4 linked regions of the Xenopus tropicalis genome follow. The protein of the gene in region 1 interacts with the protein of each later gene in a biochemical or structural test. Links are inferred from orthologs where the notes say so. Each region holds a gene or a part of one and is shown in the gene's direction. Other genes may lie near its edges. The genes, in order: clspn, cdc7, csnk1g1 and usp20.

Evidence for each region.
Region 2: of the proteins of clspn (region 1) and cdc7, one has a biochemical effect on the other in vitro, tested with the Homo sapiens proteins (3 studies listed by BioGRID, with this or other methods). The link is inferred for Xenopus tropicalis from reciprocal best matches to the Homo sapiens genes CLSPN and CDC7.
Region 3: of the proteins of clspn (region 1) and csnk1g1, one has a biochemical effect on the other in vitro, tested with the Homo sapiens proteins (2 studies listed by BioGRID). The link is inferred for Xenopus tropicalis from reciprocal best matches to the Homo sapiens genes CLSPN and CSNK1G1.
Region 4: of the proteins of clspn (region 1) and usp20, one has a biochemical effect on the other in vitro, tested with the Homo sapiens proteins (2 studies listed by BioGRID, with this or other methods). The link is inferred for Xenopus tropicalis from reciprocal best matches to the Homo sapiens genes CLSPN and USP20.

What each region holds. Positions count from the first base shown.
Region 1 is NC_030678.2:81,833,904-81,837,917, reverse strand, and holds the start of clspn (claspin), read left to right. Parts: upstream 1-1,154; 5' UTR 1,155-1,290; coding exon 1,291-1,317; intron 1,318-1,328; exon of another isoform or gene 1,329-1,528; intron 1,529-3,273; coding exon 3,274-3,403; intron 3,404-4,014.
Region 2 is NC_030680.2:104,898,740-104,902,305, reverse strand, and holds the end of cdc7 (cell division cycle 7-related protein kinase), read left to right. Parts: intron 1-437; coding exon 438-587; intron 588-2,654; coding exon 2,655-3,037; 3' UTR 3,038-3,143; downstream 3,144-3,566. UniProt on the Homo sapiens protein: Kinase involved in initiation of DNA replication. Phosphorylates critical substrates that regulate the G1/S phase transition and initiation of DNA replication, such as MCM proteins and CLASPIN.
Region 3 is NC_030679.2:94,478,641-94,482,917, forward strand, and holds the start of csnk1g1 (casein kinase I), read left to right. Parts: upstream 1-1,472; 5' UTR 1,473-1,887; intron 1,888-4,277.
Region 4 is NC_030684.2:22,435,450-22,439,807, forward strand, and holds the start of usp20 (ubiquitin carboxyl-terminal hydrolase 20), read left to right. Parts: upstream 1-1,532; 5' UTR 1,533-1,548; coding exon 1,549-1,671; intron 1,672-4,358. Other genes in the region: uncharacterized protein C9orf78 homolog, read right to left, coding at 1,393-1,478.

The sequences.
Region 1 (4,014 bases):
TGGCTATCACCTGACAAAAGGGCACGCCCTCCAAAACATTGTATGTTCTTTTTGGCATAATAAAACTTGGGGGGTAGTCCCCTACAGGAAGCCTTTGTGTGCCAGGATTTCTATTTATTTATATATTTATACATACCAGGGAGGGCCATCTCCCTTATTGCCGAGCAGCAAGGAGAAAAATCAGAGACCTGGGTGTGCATGTAAAAATTTGGTTACTTGCAACATTTGGGGAACCCATGTGTCAGATCATCAAATACTTCATTTTTGTTCCCAGTAGTGACAGGCTTCTTAGAGTTAGTCCCCTTCAGGAAGACCTTCTGCAATTTGTTTTGGGTTATGTAAAGTTTGCTTAGTTTTGTCTGTGATCACTTGTTCTAACTCTAATGTTTTTAATTTGTATTGCCAGTAGATCTATTTTGTTTCTTTTGTAATAACTATTTATTTTCAATTTTCTAAGTCCTATTTCCATGTTTATCAAATCTAATTGATGAAGCTCTCCTTTTATCTTTGTGATTTGTTTTGTAAGTTTTTTGGATGGGGAATTTTTTTTGATGTTTGTAACTGTGCTAGTTGCTGTTCAAGGGCTGATCTTTTTTGTGTATTGTGTTTCATTTGTCTGGTAGCCATTTGGATACATAATCCTCTGATGGTCTCCCACTTAGTGGAGGCTTGGGATTTTTCCTGTTTGCGCCCCAGTGTGGCCCTGGATATCAGTGCCAAGAAAGGGTTACACATACATAACACATACATGTATTATGGCCATCCACATACAAAGAAAAAAATAAAAAGTAGTAAAACACCACTTTCAGCACTAGGCAGATACTGAAGTTCCTCTCACTTCTGGAACTGTTAATACCCAATTAAAGTGCTTCTAAATAAGAAATTAATCAGAGTTTTCTAAAATATCTAAGACTGCAAAGTTCAAGCGTCATCCTAAATAGTCTTTAAGCTTAGTTCCTCCAGGGGTATCCGCCCGACAGTTCGCTACCAACTTTTAAAGGGCATCTTTCTGGGGCACAGGGGATGAATCTTGAATCGGTGACTTTCCAAACCAGGTCTCCAGGCGGCGCAATCATTGAGTTTGGGAGGCGGAAACCAAGTTGCTGGTGCACGTTCTAAAATGAGGAAATAGATGGAGAACGAGGCTTTGAACGCATACAGAAAATAACACGTCACTGTTGTGGGTGACAGTCATTGGATGGCTTTTTTTCTGCTCAACCCACACGTACAGGGCGCGAATTCTGAGGCGGCAGCTGGGAAGATTGGCGGGAGCTGTCAGCAGATAGCACCATGGCCGCGCTTTGTGAAGAAGAGCAGGTGAGGCGAACTACTCTATATAGGCAGCACTGGTAGTCATCTTGGAATAAATACTTGGCTTCTTACCGTTTGGCTATACCTGCGTTGGATTAGACCAGTCGGGTAGAACAACAAAGGCAATCGTGTTCACTTGCACAGACTATAGATATACCTATGTATAAGGGACGGGCTGACTAAATCACCGCAAAGCTCATGAAAAAACAAAAACCAGGTGTGAAAACCAAAACGCCATCTCTGGTTTTGGGCTGCATTTAAAATTAACATTTGTCGTGCGTGTGCACCGATAATACCTGGTATATCTAATAATACGCTCTTTATGTATTTGTGTTTCTTCCGTTTTGTTTAGGATAATATAGCCGTGTCTACGAGACTTATACATGAATGTAAATGTGTTTTAGGGTTCGAGTAAGTGTTGGCAAAAAGCTTATTGGCCAGTGCCCCTCTAGGCCCCCAGCAACTGCAGGGTCTGCTCTCTTTATAGTTACTCCCTTGTTTAGATTGTTCATCTGCAGTCCTGTGCTTATGGTGCAACCCATGTGTAGGAGTGCAGGGCTGCAGGCAAATATGTTCTGCAAATTCTAAGGTTTATAACTAACTTAAGGGGCATAATCTTAATAGAGAGAAGTATAACTCATTATACTGTTTAACTTGTCTTGTGTTATTGGATGTTTACATTTCTAAATCTGGAGTCTGAGCCTATTTTAGTAAATAGAATACAATAAATGTAATAGATATTAATACAATATATGAATGTTTGGGACCTTGGGTTTCCCTGATAAGCAGGTCCTTCAGTAATTTGGATCTCTATATCTTAAGTCTACTGAAAAAAACATTTAAATATTAATTAAATCCAATAGGATTGTTTTGCCTCCAATGGGTATTATTTATGTCTTAGTTGGAATCAAGTATATTGTACTGTTCTATTTATGCAGAAAAAGGAAATCATTCTAAAGAATAGAATTATTTTCTTATAATGAAGTCTATGGGGGATAGTCTTCCTGTAATTTGGGACTTTCTGGATAATGGATTTCTGGGTAATGGATCCAATGCTTGCATTAAATTATGATGTGGTTTGTTTAATAAACAAAGCTTTTCTTGCCTTTTTAGTGCTTAAGCCTGGGAAAGGACATAATGTGTATGTCCTCAGATGCCTTAAGAATATTTAAAAAAAAAAAGATATTGAAATATTGAATTTAGTGGGCTGGTGGGGGCGGTTTGGGCTTCTGTATACTTAAAATGCCAAGGCCTATTTTAAATGCCAGTCCAGGCCTGGTCCCCAGTGACATTTGCTTGGGGCTTGCATAAGGAAATTCTATAATCTATATTTGGATCCCTTACTGACCATACTGTTTGGGAACAAGGCATAAATAGAAAGCTGTGTAAAGAATAGCTGAAAAATAACAAGTTCTACTTTTTACCTTAAGGTGGTTGTTTACCTTTTCATTAACTTTATGATGTAGAGAGTTCTAATAAATAAATAAATAAATAAATATATATATATATATATATATATATATATATTATTAATTATAATTAATTCGTATTGGAGCCAAAACAATCCTATTGGGCTTAGTGTTTATAGAATTTTTTTTTTTTTTTTTTATGTATTCTTTATTTTTTGGTTTTTCAGCAGAAATGGGGTACAGAAAGAAAGAGGGGAATGGGGTAAGGACATTTATAATGGTCTGCATTTACAATCAGCTTTTGAAGTCAGGAGATAACACAAAGTTTTTTCTATTAATTGAAACACAGTTGGAGAAAGACATTTTATAGAATTTTTTTAGCAGACTTATGGTAGGAGATCTGAATTACGGAAAGACCCCTTATCCGGAAACCGCCAGGTCCCAAGCATTCTGGATAACTGGTCCCATACCTGTAGTTTAAATGTCTTTAATGTTCAATAATTTTACCTGGTGTTTTTTATTCTAAAACCTTTAACATTATTGTTTTAAATAGTTAGTTTTGGAACCAGAAGACAGCATCAGTCTGAAGATCTTGGAGACAGATTCTGACAGTGGTCAGGGCAGCTGTGAAATGGCTTCTGCTGATGATCAGAACAAAATATTGGATTGTATAGAGGACAGAGGTGTGTTGAAATAAAGTTATGCCTTCTGAAAGCAAGAATTTCCTTTAGACACAAGTGCCCCACAGATTGTAGCAGATAAGTTTTTGATCTTGATATAGCAGTCTTGATTTATAAGCGGTGATTAAACATTTAAAGGAGAAGGAAAGGCTAAGTCACTTGGCGGTGCCAAAATGTTAGGCACCCCCCAGTGACTTTAATCGCTTACCTTGTACCCCGGGCTGGTGCCCCTGTTAGGAGAAAACCAGCCTGGGGTACCTGTAGCGAGCGTTTCCTCCTTCCATGTTCACTCTGCCAGCAAAATCCATGGGCCGGCTCATGCGCTGTAGAGTGAAAAGCTGACTTTTTTGTGCGGCTTTTCACTCTACTGCGCATGCACAAGCGCGAACATGGAAGACGAGGCGCTCGCTGCAGGTACCCTGGGCTGGTGCGGTTTTCTCCGAACAGGGGTACAAGGTAAGAGTTTAAAGTCACTTGGGGGTTCCTGACATTTTGGCACACCCAAGTGACTTCTCCTTTTAAATCACATTGCATATTACAGTTATAAAAAAGGCATCATCTGTAAAGTCTGTATCATTGGTCTTCGACATGCTTAGTGCTTAGTAAAGTATGGA
Region 2 (3,566 bases), on another chromosome or scaffold:
GCCTTGAGGAATGGGCAAAAATCCCAGGGCAAGCTCATAGAGACTTATCCAGAGCGACTTACAGCTGTAGTTGCTGCAAAAGGTGGCTCTACAAAGTACTGACTTCATGCACGCTGAAGTTTTCTGTTATTTTGTCCTGTATATCTTTAAAGTTGTAGGCATGTTCTGTAAATGAAATGGTGCAAACTCTCAAAACAATCCATTTTAATTCCAGGTTGTTAGGCAAAAAAACATGAAAAATGCCAAGGGGGGTGAATACTTTAGCAAAGCACTGTATTTATATTTATTTGTTATATCCATATATCAAGTATTTTATTAACTTTATATGTCAATGTTAGTTTTTAATATTAGACAATTCGAAAATTACCTGTTAGGGCTTCTTATACTCTGAACATTTTTTATGTATTTGCTTTTTAAGCTCACTTAATTTTTTACAGCAATTGACATGTGGTCTGCAGGCATCATCTTTCTTTCTTTACTAAGCGGAAGATATCATTTTTTTAATGCTGCGGATGATATGAATGCTTTGGCCCAGATTATGACGATTCGTGGATCTAAGGAGACAATACAAGCTTCTAAATGTTTTGGTATGTAAAATATGCCATATAATTATGACAAAAGTAAAATTCTCTAATACAAATGTTCTCTTTTTGCTTGATTGTTTGTGGGCTAACTTCACACATTACAGTATTACAGAGTGAACAATTAAAACACTTAGGAGCTGATTTACTCATGTGCGAATCTGAATCACAAAATCCGATCATTTCTGGTGATTGCAAATGTCACAAAAATTATTTTTGTTTGAATACGAAAATATCGTACATACTGCTCCGAATTACGGAAAGCCCGTCTCCTATAGACTTTATTTTAATCAAATAATTCAGAATTTTAAAACTGATTTCTTTTTTCTCTGTAGTAATAAAACACTACCTTGTAATTGATCCCAACGAAGATATAATTAACCCTTACTGGATGCAAAACAATTCTATTGGATTTAATTATTGCTTTATTGTTTTTTTTAGTAGACTTAAGGTATGGAGATCCAAATTACGGAAAGACCCCTTATCCGGAATACCCTTGGTCCTGTGCATTCTTGATAACAGGTCCTATACCTGTAATTGTAACCAATTGTACTTTGATAAATGGGCCCCTTAGAGTAATTACATAAAAATATTTTAAGGGCAGGGAAGGCTGAATTCTAAAACTTATATCTTAGGCACCCCGACCAACTAGGGCTGAGGACACAAATATACAAATTTAATTTCTTACTGCTTTACCTTACCTTCACTTATCATTTTTGCTCTTAAAATGTATTTTCTAAGAAGTTTCCAGAGAGGTCATATATCCTCAAGAAATTCTTGAAAGTATTTCACACTGATACCAGAGTAATATGTTCTCACTTGCCAGAGGAATAAGACAATAATTCCCATTATTCTGTTTGCCTTGTAATTGAGCCCTTGGCTCTCATTAGGCAATCTCTCCTAGATCAAGGAAGCACAATACAAGAAACAAGAAATTGCAGATCCTAAAAAATCGACTACTGTGCCTCTTGGGGTACCATACCCAATAGACCCCAACCACCCATTAGGCTTACCTTTCAATATTCCCTTGGTTTGGGTGCACCAATTTAAATATATTGTCACAGTGCATTTGACCTGGGCAAATATGAATATGAAGTTGCCTGCAGGGGAAAACTTTGTACGACTTCAGAATACCGAAGCAATGCAAAGGGATTTCCACCAGCGACTCCTATTATTGCCGGTGGAAAACCATTTTTAGAGGGATAGTCGCCCACAACAGCAGAAATCTATCACAGGCGACCAAACTGCTCCGTGGTTTCTTACCCTAAGAGCTAAAAGGAAAGGAAAAGTAATTGTCTGCTATATGATTGACAGTTTGGATTTTTAAATGCCTTTGTAATGGATATGATTGTGTTAATAAAAAAGGAACTTGGGTCTTGTGTTTAATTTAAATAGAACTTTTATTATACAGCTTTTTAGGTCTGGGAGACATGTTCCTTTTAATCTAGCCATTCATTTAAAGATCTTCTTTGGTGTGTGTGCAGATGTTGATTTGGCCTCCAGGACCCTTTAGGTCCTCTTCCATCTGATCGTTACACAACCCTATAGTTCCTATACAGGCCCGTTAGGAGAGGATTGTGTCAGTGGGCCCAAGGTGCTATTCATTTGATGCTTTAATTTGCCTGATAGAGTTATGGCCGCTCCCCAGATAGATATCATTTGGACAGCATATTATTGTGGCCCCATACATTTGACATTAAGCCACCAACTACATTTTAAGTGGCCAAGCTTTAATTTAATTTGATGTCTGGTTAAAATTGTTTAGATTCTGGCCTAATCTTAAGATGATTCATTGTAAGATAAGAACTTAGAATACACTACTCTTTGTCCGCACATCTGTGTTTTGAAATATTTGCCCATATTTTCCAAGTTAAATACTAGATTACTAGTACTAGATTGCATTATGTTATCTAGCTGCTTAGTTCAGTTTAGATGGTTTTATTTGTACATTGTGTACACTTGTTTGTTACAATGACATACATCTTCAACTAATTCCCACTTCACTTTTTTATGTTATATATGGTTATAAAAACCTTAATGATTAAATATCTTAAAATGTCTTTTTTATCATAGGTAAAAATTTGCTTTGTAGTAAAGAACTTCCTTCAAAGGACTTAAAAACTCTGTGTGAAGGGTTGAGAAGTGCAGTCCTTCTTCCAAATGGTGATCAACATGACATACAAAAACAAAGGGCTGCTTTACAAATGCAGATAATGGAAAATCAAGATGGATGGTTTTCACCAGAATCGTCTAATATAACTCATGCTTCTTCTATGGTTGCTAGTTGTGTGTCTGCACCTGATAATATGGATATTGAACAATCTAATCATAATGGGTGGGATAGAGTCCCAAATGAGGCTTATCATCTATTAGACAGACTTCTTGATATGAATCCAGCAACAAGAATTACGGCGGAAGAAGCTTTAATACATCCACTTTTTAAAAACATGAGGTAATGTGTTGTCACCTTCTGCTTGTACTGCCAAGAATAAGGAAAATATTTCAAATTTTTGTATTATAGGTTTATTTTTAAATTATTTAAATAAATTCTCATTTTTGTAACTGGTCTTTTCTATGATGTGTTTACATTTGGTTATGAGTCATGTAATTCTTCATACAGCAACCTGTCTACTTATCTACTAATGGTGCTCTGGGTAAATGTGTCGTATTTTTTTCTCTCTGAGACAATGCTTCCTGGTGTAAGCAAGGTTGTAGGCTGGTACACTTCTGGTAATTCTTATTGTAACTTTGAATCCAATCTTTTCTTCCTCGAGGACAGCTCCAATTCTGCCCACATCCTCTGGCCTGTTTAAAGGAGTTGTTCTCTTTTTTTGTAACTTTTTTTATTTTGAAGAGAATAATACTGAGAAAATGTTCATTCATTTTTTATTTGTAGTTTTTTTTTAGTTATTTCGTGAAATAAACTTGGCTTTTCAGCAGCGTTCTTGCTGCTAGGGTCTGAATTACCTTAGTAACCAGTGATTT
Region 3 (4,277 bases), on another chromosome or scaffold:
CATTTTGAACATTTGCAAAACGCAAAGTAAGGCAACGTGTTTACTAAGGGGAAGTGTGAGTGCTAGTAAATTGGAAGTAGGCAGCACCTAACTGGGGATTGACACTGCAGTCTTGTCTCATGAGACTGCGACATGCCTGGCTGGGGTAAAAAAATCGGGTGATAGGCTCTGATTCCAGCAGGTACTGTTGGCAACCAGGAAAAGTGTCTGGGAGCCTCTGATAACAAGGAACCTCAATCTGCCCCTTGTCTGCACAAAAATACAGATACCCTTTAAAAAAAAAAATGGACCAAACAACTCAAGATAACTTTTGGTGAATTTTACCTATTGCTCTTCCTAAATTAGCCATTGTGTGCAAATCATGGCCCTCATTGTGTGCAAAACAGGGACCCTCAAAGTATTAAGAAAAGAGTTGCCCCCTGTTTGCACAAACTTTTTCCTTTCTGGTGAAATTGGAAGAGGCTTTGACAGGTGGTAGGTATTGTTGGCAACCAGGAAAAACTGTCTGGGAGTCTCCAGTGCCAATGTAAAAAAAAACAAAAAAAAACTAAAGATCACTGTTGGTACCCATTAAATTATTCTAAGTTAGCTCATATATTGGTCCTAAATTGTGAAAAATATTTTCCTTGTCTTGACATTAAACACTGGCTGACCTTTTTGGGCCCTGGAACTGCTGTGGTAACTGACAGGAAACCAGCACACTTTAGAGGAAACAGATGAAAAGATTACTTTTGGTCAATTTCACCCATTGTCTTCTCCTAAATCAGCTCTTGTTCTATCCCTGAATTGTGGAAAGCCCGCCCTTTGTTTGCACAAAAGTACCGGGATCCTCTGATGCCACTGTAAAACTCAAGATTGCTAAAATTCACCCATAACCCTCTCTTAAATTTGCCAATGTGTAAACAACCCGGCCCTTGGTCACAAAAATACACTGGGACAGGAAAACTAACATTTCTCAATTTCACCTGGCCCTAGCATACACAAAAACGCTCTACACTTTGGTTAACGTGGGAGAAGAGGCTCCGTTTGTGGCAGGTACAATTGGTAATCAAGAAAAACCTTTTTTTTCCCTGGCACAAGTCAGAACTCCAAGCAAAAACACAAAAGCTAATTCTGAAGAAATACTACGAGGTGGCGGGCAGCATGACAACCGACTAACACCAAAGAATGCCCTTTTTTGTTCTCAATCCCTAACAAAAGTAGGAGGCGCAAGCACATAGTGAGCTAACCCACCGCCACTCACTTGCAGCCTCTGATTGCGTGAAAGCAGAGATACGACGTCTCTGCTCGTCATTCCCACAAGGCGGCTACGTGATGCGTCACTGCGCTTCCGGGTAGTAGTGACGCCACAGTCTCGCGTGATGAGACTTGTGGCATCGGGATTTTCTGTAAGACAGGAGGCAAGAAGCTTGCAATTAACATCTATGCGGGACGTGTAAGTAGCGATTCGGGAGTGCGGGCTTTCTTAGGAAAATAAGGAGTGTCCAGTGAAAAGCGGGACTGTTGGTCAATATGTGGCATTGGCACGCTAGGGTGTATTAGTAACCGGCACGGTGGCTCAAATGGTGATTATTAGGGTTAATACTGGCTGTACTGTGGTCTCGGTGAATACAAGTGGGTTGCATAGAGATTTTGATGTAGGCATGGAAGCTTAGGGTGTTTAGTCACAGATACAGTGTGACCAGTTACAGGTATTGTAGCATCAGGGGCAGAGAAAGCCCTCACATCAACGCAACAGAGACTTTGACGGCAATTGTCATAAGGATTTTGAAGTGAAATCATCTTAATGCAAATCTATACATCTCTTTAAACCTGGAAATGTGTGGAGCTTCTGTTTGTAGTGTGCCGAATATTAGGAAAGTAGAGACTCGAGTTTTGGAAACAAAGGTAACACAAAACTGATTCATAACAGTTTATAATGTTTATAATTTATATATTGTACAACCAGAGACATACAGTAGTTTTGTCATGTATGTTATGCTTCTGTTTTGGCATTTAAGAAGTAAGCTTCTCTTTTTGTCCCAAGCGTTTAGGCTCATGGTACATAGGATGTATCAACATTTTTGCAAATTTTGGCCAGAAAATGCACATTTGACTTGTTTCGGGCTAAATTCTGCTTGTCGTTTGTGGTGACAGGAGGTTTCCACTGAAACTAACTTGCTACTAGGCAGGATTCCATACCAATTTGAGTATTTTCTGGCCAAATCCACCTGTCACCACTGTTGATAGGTAGCGTTCAATAAAACTTTTAACAAGCCCCTTGTGGGATTTGTCCATCAGTTAAATGCGTGTCATACCATTGTCTCTTAGAAGCCATAAGGGCTCTGACACATGGGGAGATTAGTCGCCCGTGATAAGGGAGATTTGTCGCGGGCAACTAATCTCCCCGTGTGCCAATAAGAAGTATTTTGCTAATTGGAATTTACAGATAATGTGTAAGTTTGGCATAGGTTATCCTGCACCTAGCATTCACTGGGACTCACATCAACACTGCAAACTTGATCCTGTAACCTATAGCAACCAATAAAATCTTTGCTTTAGTTTTGTACAACAAGTTACTGCCCAGGTGCAAATTATTATTTATATAGCGCCATCCTTTCCAACAGCACTTTACAGAGTAAGAGATGCAAATAAAAGAGACAAGTTACATATATAGACAAAATTTACTATTGCCCATTGTTAGAAGGCTGCAGGGAAAGGCTCTGCTCGCGAGAGCTGAGACTCTAAAAGGGGTGAAAGAAGTAAGACATACGATGAGGTTAAGCAGTACGGTTGTAGAGTTCTTTAGCTGGTATAGTAATGGTAAGTGCATAGTGAAAGGTGGTAACCATTGACCAGTTTGTGTGCTTGTGAAAAGTAAGGGGGATATGGGAATGATCAAGTTGCTGAGTGCTTAAGTTATAGGTGTGAATTTAAAGGTGGCTTATAATTGATTATCTTTAAGCCTGGAGGCTTTGACCGTGATTAGTTGGAAGGTGTTTCAGAGGGTGGGTGCAACACATGAAAGTCCTGGATGCAGGAATTAGTTGGAGTAATAAGCGTGAGAGAAGGTCATGTGAAAACCTGATGTTACATCTCGTGGTTTATTTGGTAGTTGTTTGGCGGCTCAACATTGTTGAGGGCTTGAAAAGTACAAGAATCTTGATGTAAATTCTTTGTATGACCGATATGGCCAGTGTTGGTAAATGAGCCCCACAGCCCTGTATACCTGGTTTTATAGGTGTCATCTTGCATAAATTTGGACTGAGCAGGTTTTTTTCGCAGGCGCTATGCAGGGTTTAGTATCTGGTCACATTAGTTTGACATAATTTCTTATTTCCACTGGAGGTGAACCCCTGTTAAGGAAAACAATTCTCTTTTGTTAAAAAAAAATGCTGGCTGTGAGTGATATGCCACCTGCACTATGAGGGAGCTCCCGGTAGTGGCAGCCATGTTGGGACACAAGCATGCAAATGAGGCTTAGTGTCCCAGCTTGCTTATTATTTGCTTGTAAGTGACAGCACATGCATAATGAGCGATTTGGGAGACCCATTTAGCACCCAGAGTTTTAAACATATAATTAGCAGAACATGGTATAAAAATAATTACATGTTCTGCAGGAATTGGTGATTGTTACTGCAATTTATTCCTTGATTGAACAGTGTTCATATCACAGTTGCACCCAGTTATGCTTGATTTGCCAAATTTGAATATTGTTTTTTTTGCCAAGTAAATTGGTCATTGCAAAGGCCTATTAAAACGCCACTATGCAAATCTAGATTTTGCTATTAATGTTGATTGTTAAATTTTTCTGGGTTGGAAACCAGGGTTGGTATACACATGCACATATTGATACTGTTTGCTCATGTTAGTAACCTACCTGAAATACCTGTCTTTTTTAAATATGACCATGAGAATGGATTATTTTTTGTGTTCTGTTATAAGAAGTAAAAAAAAAAAAAAAATGTGGCCCCGGCACTGAATATAATTAGCTTTTGATTTAATTGATAGTGCTGCTTTACTGTTTCCAGCGTGCAGTAGACCTCAACCTTGGATTACACTAAATCAGTGATTTTCAGTTCAATCCATACTTTGAAGGCTAAAATCTGTAACTGATTGCTTTCAGCCAAATCTAGTTATACAACCCATTATTTTAGTAGTTCCTATGTTGTGGCACTTTAATACTCCTGACAGCCTAAAGTGTAGGGCAGTTAAGGTATCCATACCTGTGACAGCCTAAATAGCAAGAAGATAGAGAAGCTGTTCTGTATACCCTACTTAATCTTGTATTGTACCAT
Region 4 (4,358 bases), on another chromosome or scaffold:
CTCCCACCCTTCCCAGCTGCAGTCAGGTGATCCCAGTGGAGCCAATAAAAGGGCAACCATATGGGGATTTTAACCTTGAAAGCAAGAAAGTTGCAGGTAAAACTTAGTCCCTTGGCTAAATGTATATTGAAGCAGTAGAATTCTTAATGAATCGCATAAGTCAGTGTAGGAACTGGTCAAAAGGGATGACTTTGACCCAGTTGGCCAGCTTGAAGTATATTGCAATATATGGACAAACAATCCCTGTTTTGCTTAAAGGGAAGGGCATTTCTTAGTAGCTTAAATGCACTGAATGTCTTAATGTCCTATATATTGATAATGGGTGAGTGCAGAGGATCTCTTGTTGTTGTTTCTATATATATATATATGTATATGTATATGTATATGTATATGTATATATATATATATATGTATATGTATATGTATATGTATATGTATATATATATATATATATATATATATCTTTATTTATAAAGCGCTACTTATGTACGCAGTGCTGTACAGTAGAATACATTAATACAAACAGGGTATTAATAAGAGAATAATATATAATAAAATATATATATATATATATATATATATTTTTTATTTTTTTTTTTTTTTACTACAATAAAGGCTACTTTTTTAAATGATTCCCGGTGTGCACCAATATTCACTAGATTTTTTATTTTTAATGCTTAATTGGTAGCACATGGGTCTTTTGACCACGCTTAGGAGTGCTGAATCTACATATGGTGTGTGTGTGTGTGTGTGTGTGCGCGCATTCCTCGGCCCACATGTGCTTGTTAAGTAAACACATTCTTGTACCCTGTATTGACTTACCAGACCACGCAGGGCCCCCCAGAGGGCATTACCCACCCTCCCCTCACAAACCAACACCCTGCCCCTCCCTTCCAGTGTCGGACTGGCCTACCAGGAAACTCCTGGTGGGCACAGGTGTCAGTGAGCCCTCCTGCTCCTACCATTTGGCCTACTTCACGGTCATACCCTATTGCTGAATGAAAACAAAGAAGAGAAATAGATGGAAGAATAGATATTGGCATGTAAATAAAAGAGACTAGCAGAGGTTGGTTGAGAAAAAAATAATTTGGAGAGTGAGCCGAGGGTCTAATGTTTTCTGGTGGGCCCCTGGGTCCCAGCCCGACACTGCTCACTTCCCCTATCTCTGCCCACTAACGCTCAGGTAGAACAGTGATGGGGAAGGGGGTTAGTTAGTTACACCTATAGAAAAAGCAGACCCCCAAGTCTGCCCTCCCAACAATGTGTTTATGGCTAATTGGTATCCATAGTAACGCGTTCTTGGAATAAAAAAAAGGCCTGAGGTAACGTTTCACACGAATACAACTTCGAGTATCCTCACTGTTGAGTCGCAGAAATATAACGAGAACCTACCTAACCTCCTGAGTTACTTCTTCAGCCTCCGCTTCTTCATCTGACGACGAGGCTTTACGCCTCCGAAAGTTTCTTCCCCCAGGCATCTTTCTCCCCGCTGCTGAACCCGGACACTACGGAATATGTAAACTTCCGGCGCGGTCTAATGATGTAATAATGCCAGTGAGAAGCTTCCGGATCTCCGCCCTTGCCTTGGCAGTGTGGGGCGGAGTTAGGAATCAGCAGTCAACAGCTGCGGTAACAGAGGTATCTGGCATCAGGCTGGCATGGCATAGGGAGGTAGGTTTGCTCCTGCACCCCGTATCCATGTACAAGCTCCATAACTACTAGAGGATTAATGTCTGTACAGGCAGGGGTTTAGCTTAGTGTAGCGGCAGGGGCCTGGGGGCAGTGCATCATATTAACCTTGCGTGTGTGTGTGTATGTATATACACACACACACACACACACACACACCTTCTCTGGCACCCCCAGGTATTATTTCTTCTCATGGTGTGCAGCTTACTAGCAACTTGTATCTCTCTCTCAATATAAATATATATATATAGGTAAAGAATGTCGGCACTCTTAGGATTTCCACAATAAGGCAAAAAAGTAAAGTTTTTTTTCAAATGCAAGCGGTGAGATTTATTGTTTCCAACGTTTCAGTCCTTTACTAGGACTTTCGTCAGGGAGTGCAATGTCTTTGCCTTCCTGCACTCCCTGACGAAAGTCCTAGTAAAGGACTGAAACGTTGGAAACAATAAATCTCACCGCTTGCATTTGAAAAAAAACTTTACTTTTTTGCCTTATTGTGGAAATCCTAAGAGTGCCGACATTCTTTACCTATCTACAGATTTTATAGCTCTGGCACCTAGGTTTACTCTCATTTTATGGTGTGCCTCCCACTCTGGACTGTATATATATATATATATATATATATATATATATACCTTTTTAAAGGTCCCAAAAGGGACCGAAACGTCAGTTGTACATGCAATTATAATACTATAATATTTGTTTGAACCACAAGACCCTTGGTGCTGGTTGTGTTTGATTTGGTATATATATATATATATATATATATATATATATATATATATATATATATATATATATATATATATATATATATATATATATATATATATATATGGGCAGACTGGTGTATATACACAGAGAAGCGCTGGGCACAGAGAAGGGGACAGACTGGTGTATATACACAGAGAAGCGCTGGGCACAGAGAAGGGGGCAGACTGGTGTATATACACAGAGAAGGGGACAGACTGGTGTATATACACAGAGAGGTGCTGGGCACAGAGAAAGGGCAGACTGGTGTATATACACAGAGAGGCGCTGGGCACAGCGTAGGGGGCAGACTGGTGTATATACACAGAGAGGTGCTAGGCACAGAGAAGGGGGCAGACTGCTGTATATACACAGTGAGGTGCTGGGCACAGAGAAGAAATTAGGCACTAGCTTGGATTTATGTAGAGAGAAGAGGGAAGCAGCTTGATATACTCCCAGGGGCACAGGCTGTTATACACTCAGAGAAGGAAACGCTAGAGACAGACTGAGAGTGTCACAAATTAAAATATAGACAAAATTGTGATGGGAATGGCCTGGTATTTACACTGAGAGGAGGTGGGCACAACCTGGTGTATGCACAGAGGATGGTACATGCCGATAAATACACAAGAGAGGGGCACAGAGAAGAGAGGCAGACTGGTGTATATACACAGAGAGGAGGTAGGCACAAGGTTACACATAGAGAGGAGAGGGGAGCAGGTTTATATATTCTCAGGGGCACAGGCTGGTATATACACAGAGAAGGAAACGGTAGAGACAAAGACAGTGGCACAAGCTGGAATATACACAAAAACAGTGATGGGCATGGCCTGGTATATACATAGGATTTGGGCAGATTCTGGTGTATGCACAGAGAAGGGGACAAGCTGGTATTTACAGAGAAGGGCACTGGATAGTATATAATAAAGCAGAAAGGCTGGTATTTGTACTAGGTAGGCAGTTGGTAGTATATATAGAACATATGATAGTGATTGTTGTATATCCTGCACAAGTGGGCCACAGGTGTGTATATAATATATATATTGTATAAAAAGAATGGTGTCAGCTGACATACAGGCTCAAATGTAGATAATGCCGGATCAGCGGAACCATATATGGATGAAGCTGAAGGGAAAGTGACTCATGCTGTGTATAAATTGCTGACTATTTTTTGCAATTAAATTGAGATTTCTGTGAGCAGCTGGCATTGTGCTTGGTATCTACGGGTAACCAGTTGCTGATGTATGCCATCCTCTGATATAATGGCATCATGATTGCGGCCTTGTACCGCGAATGGCTGAGGCTCTCACAAGTGGTCATGTGACCCTATTATCCTCATTCAGGTCTAACTGCTGTGCTTACAGTCTGCTGCCCAGGCCTCTCCTCTCCCTCCCAAGCCAACCAAACTGCGGCCTTTTCATCACATAAAGCAGGGGTCCTCAACCTTTTTTACCCATGAGCCACATTCAAATGTAAAAAGAGTCGGGGAGCAACACAAGCATAAAAAGACTTCTGGGGGTGCCAAATATGGGCTGTAAATTGCTAATCTGGTAGCCTCTAAGTGGACTGGCAGACTATAAGAGGTTCTGTTTGTCAGTACACCTGGTTTTTATGCAGCTAAAGCTTGCCTCCAAGCCAAGAACTGGTTGGGGATCACTGACATAAAGGGTTTTTTTTTTTTTTTTTTAAATACAGGTTAATATATATTGGTAATGTTTAACATTAGTGGACTTACATCCAAAAGTCATTGTGTGCCTTTTATTCTCCCTGCTGCTCGTGTGAGGCCTTAAAGGGGACCTGTCACCCTAAGAAATAATCCCAAATTCTTTTCTATTGTATTTCTCAAGCAAAATAAACTTCACTTACACTGTATAAGTAATATAAATCTTGTTTCCTTCAGTCCTGGAATTACACAATCA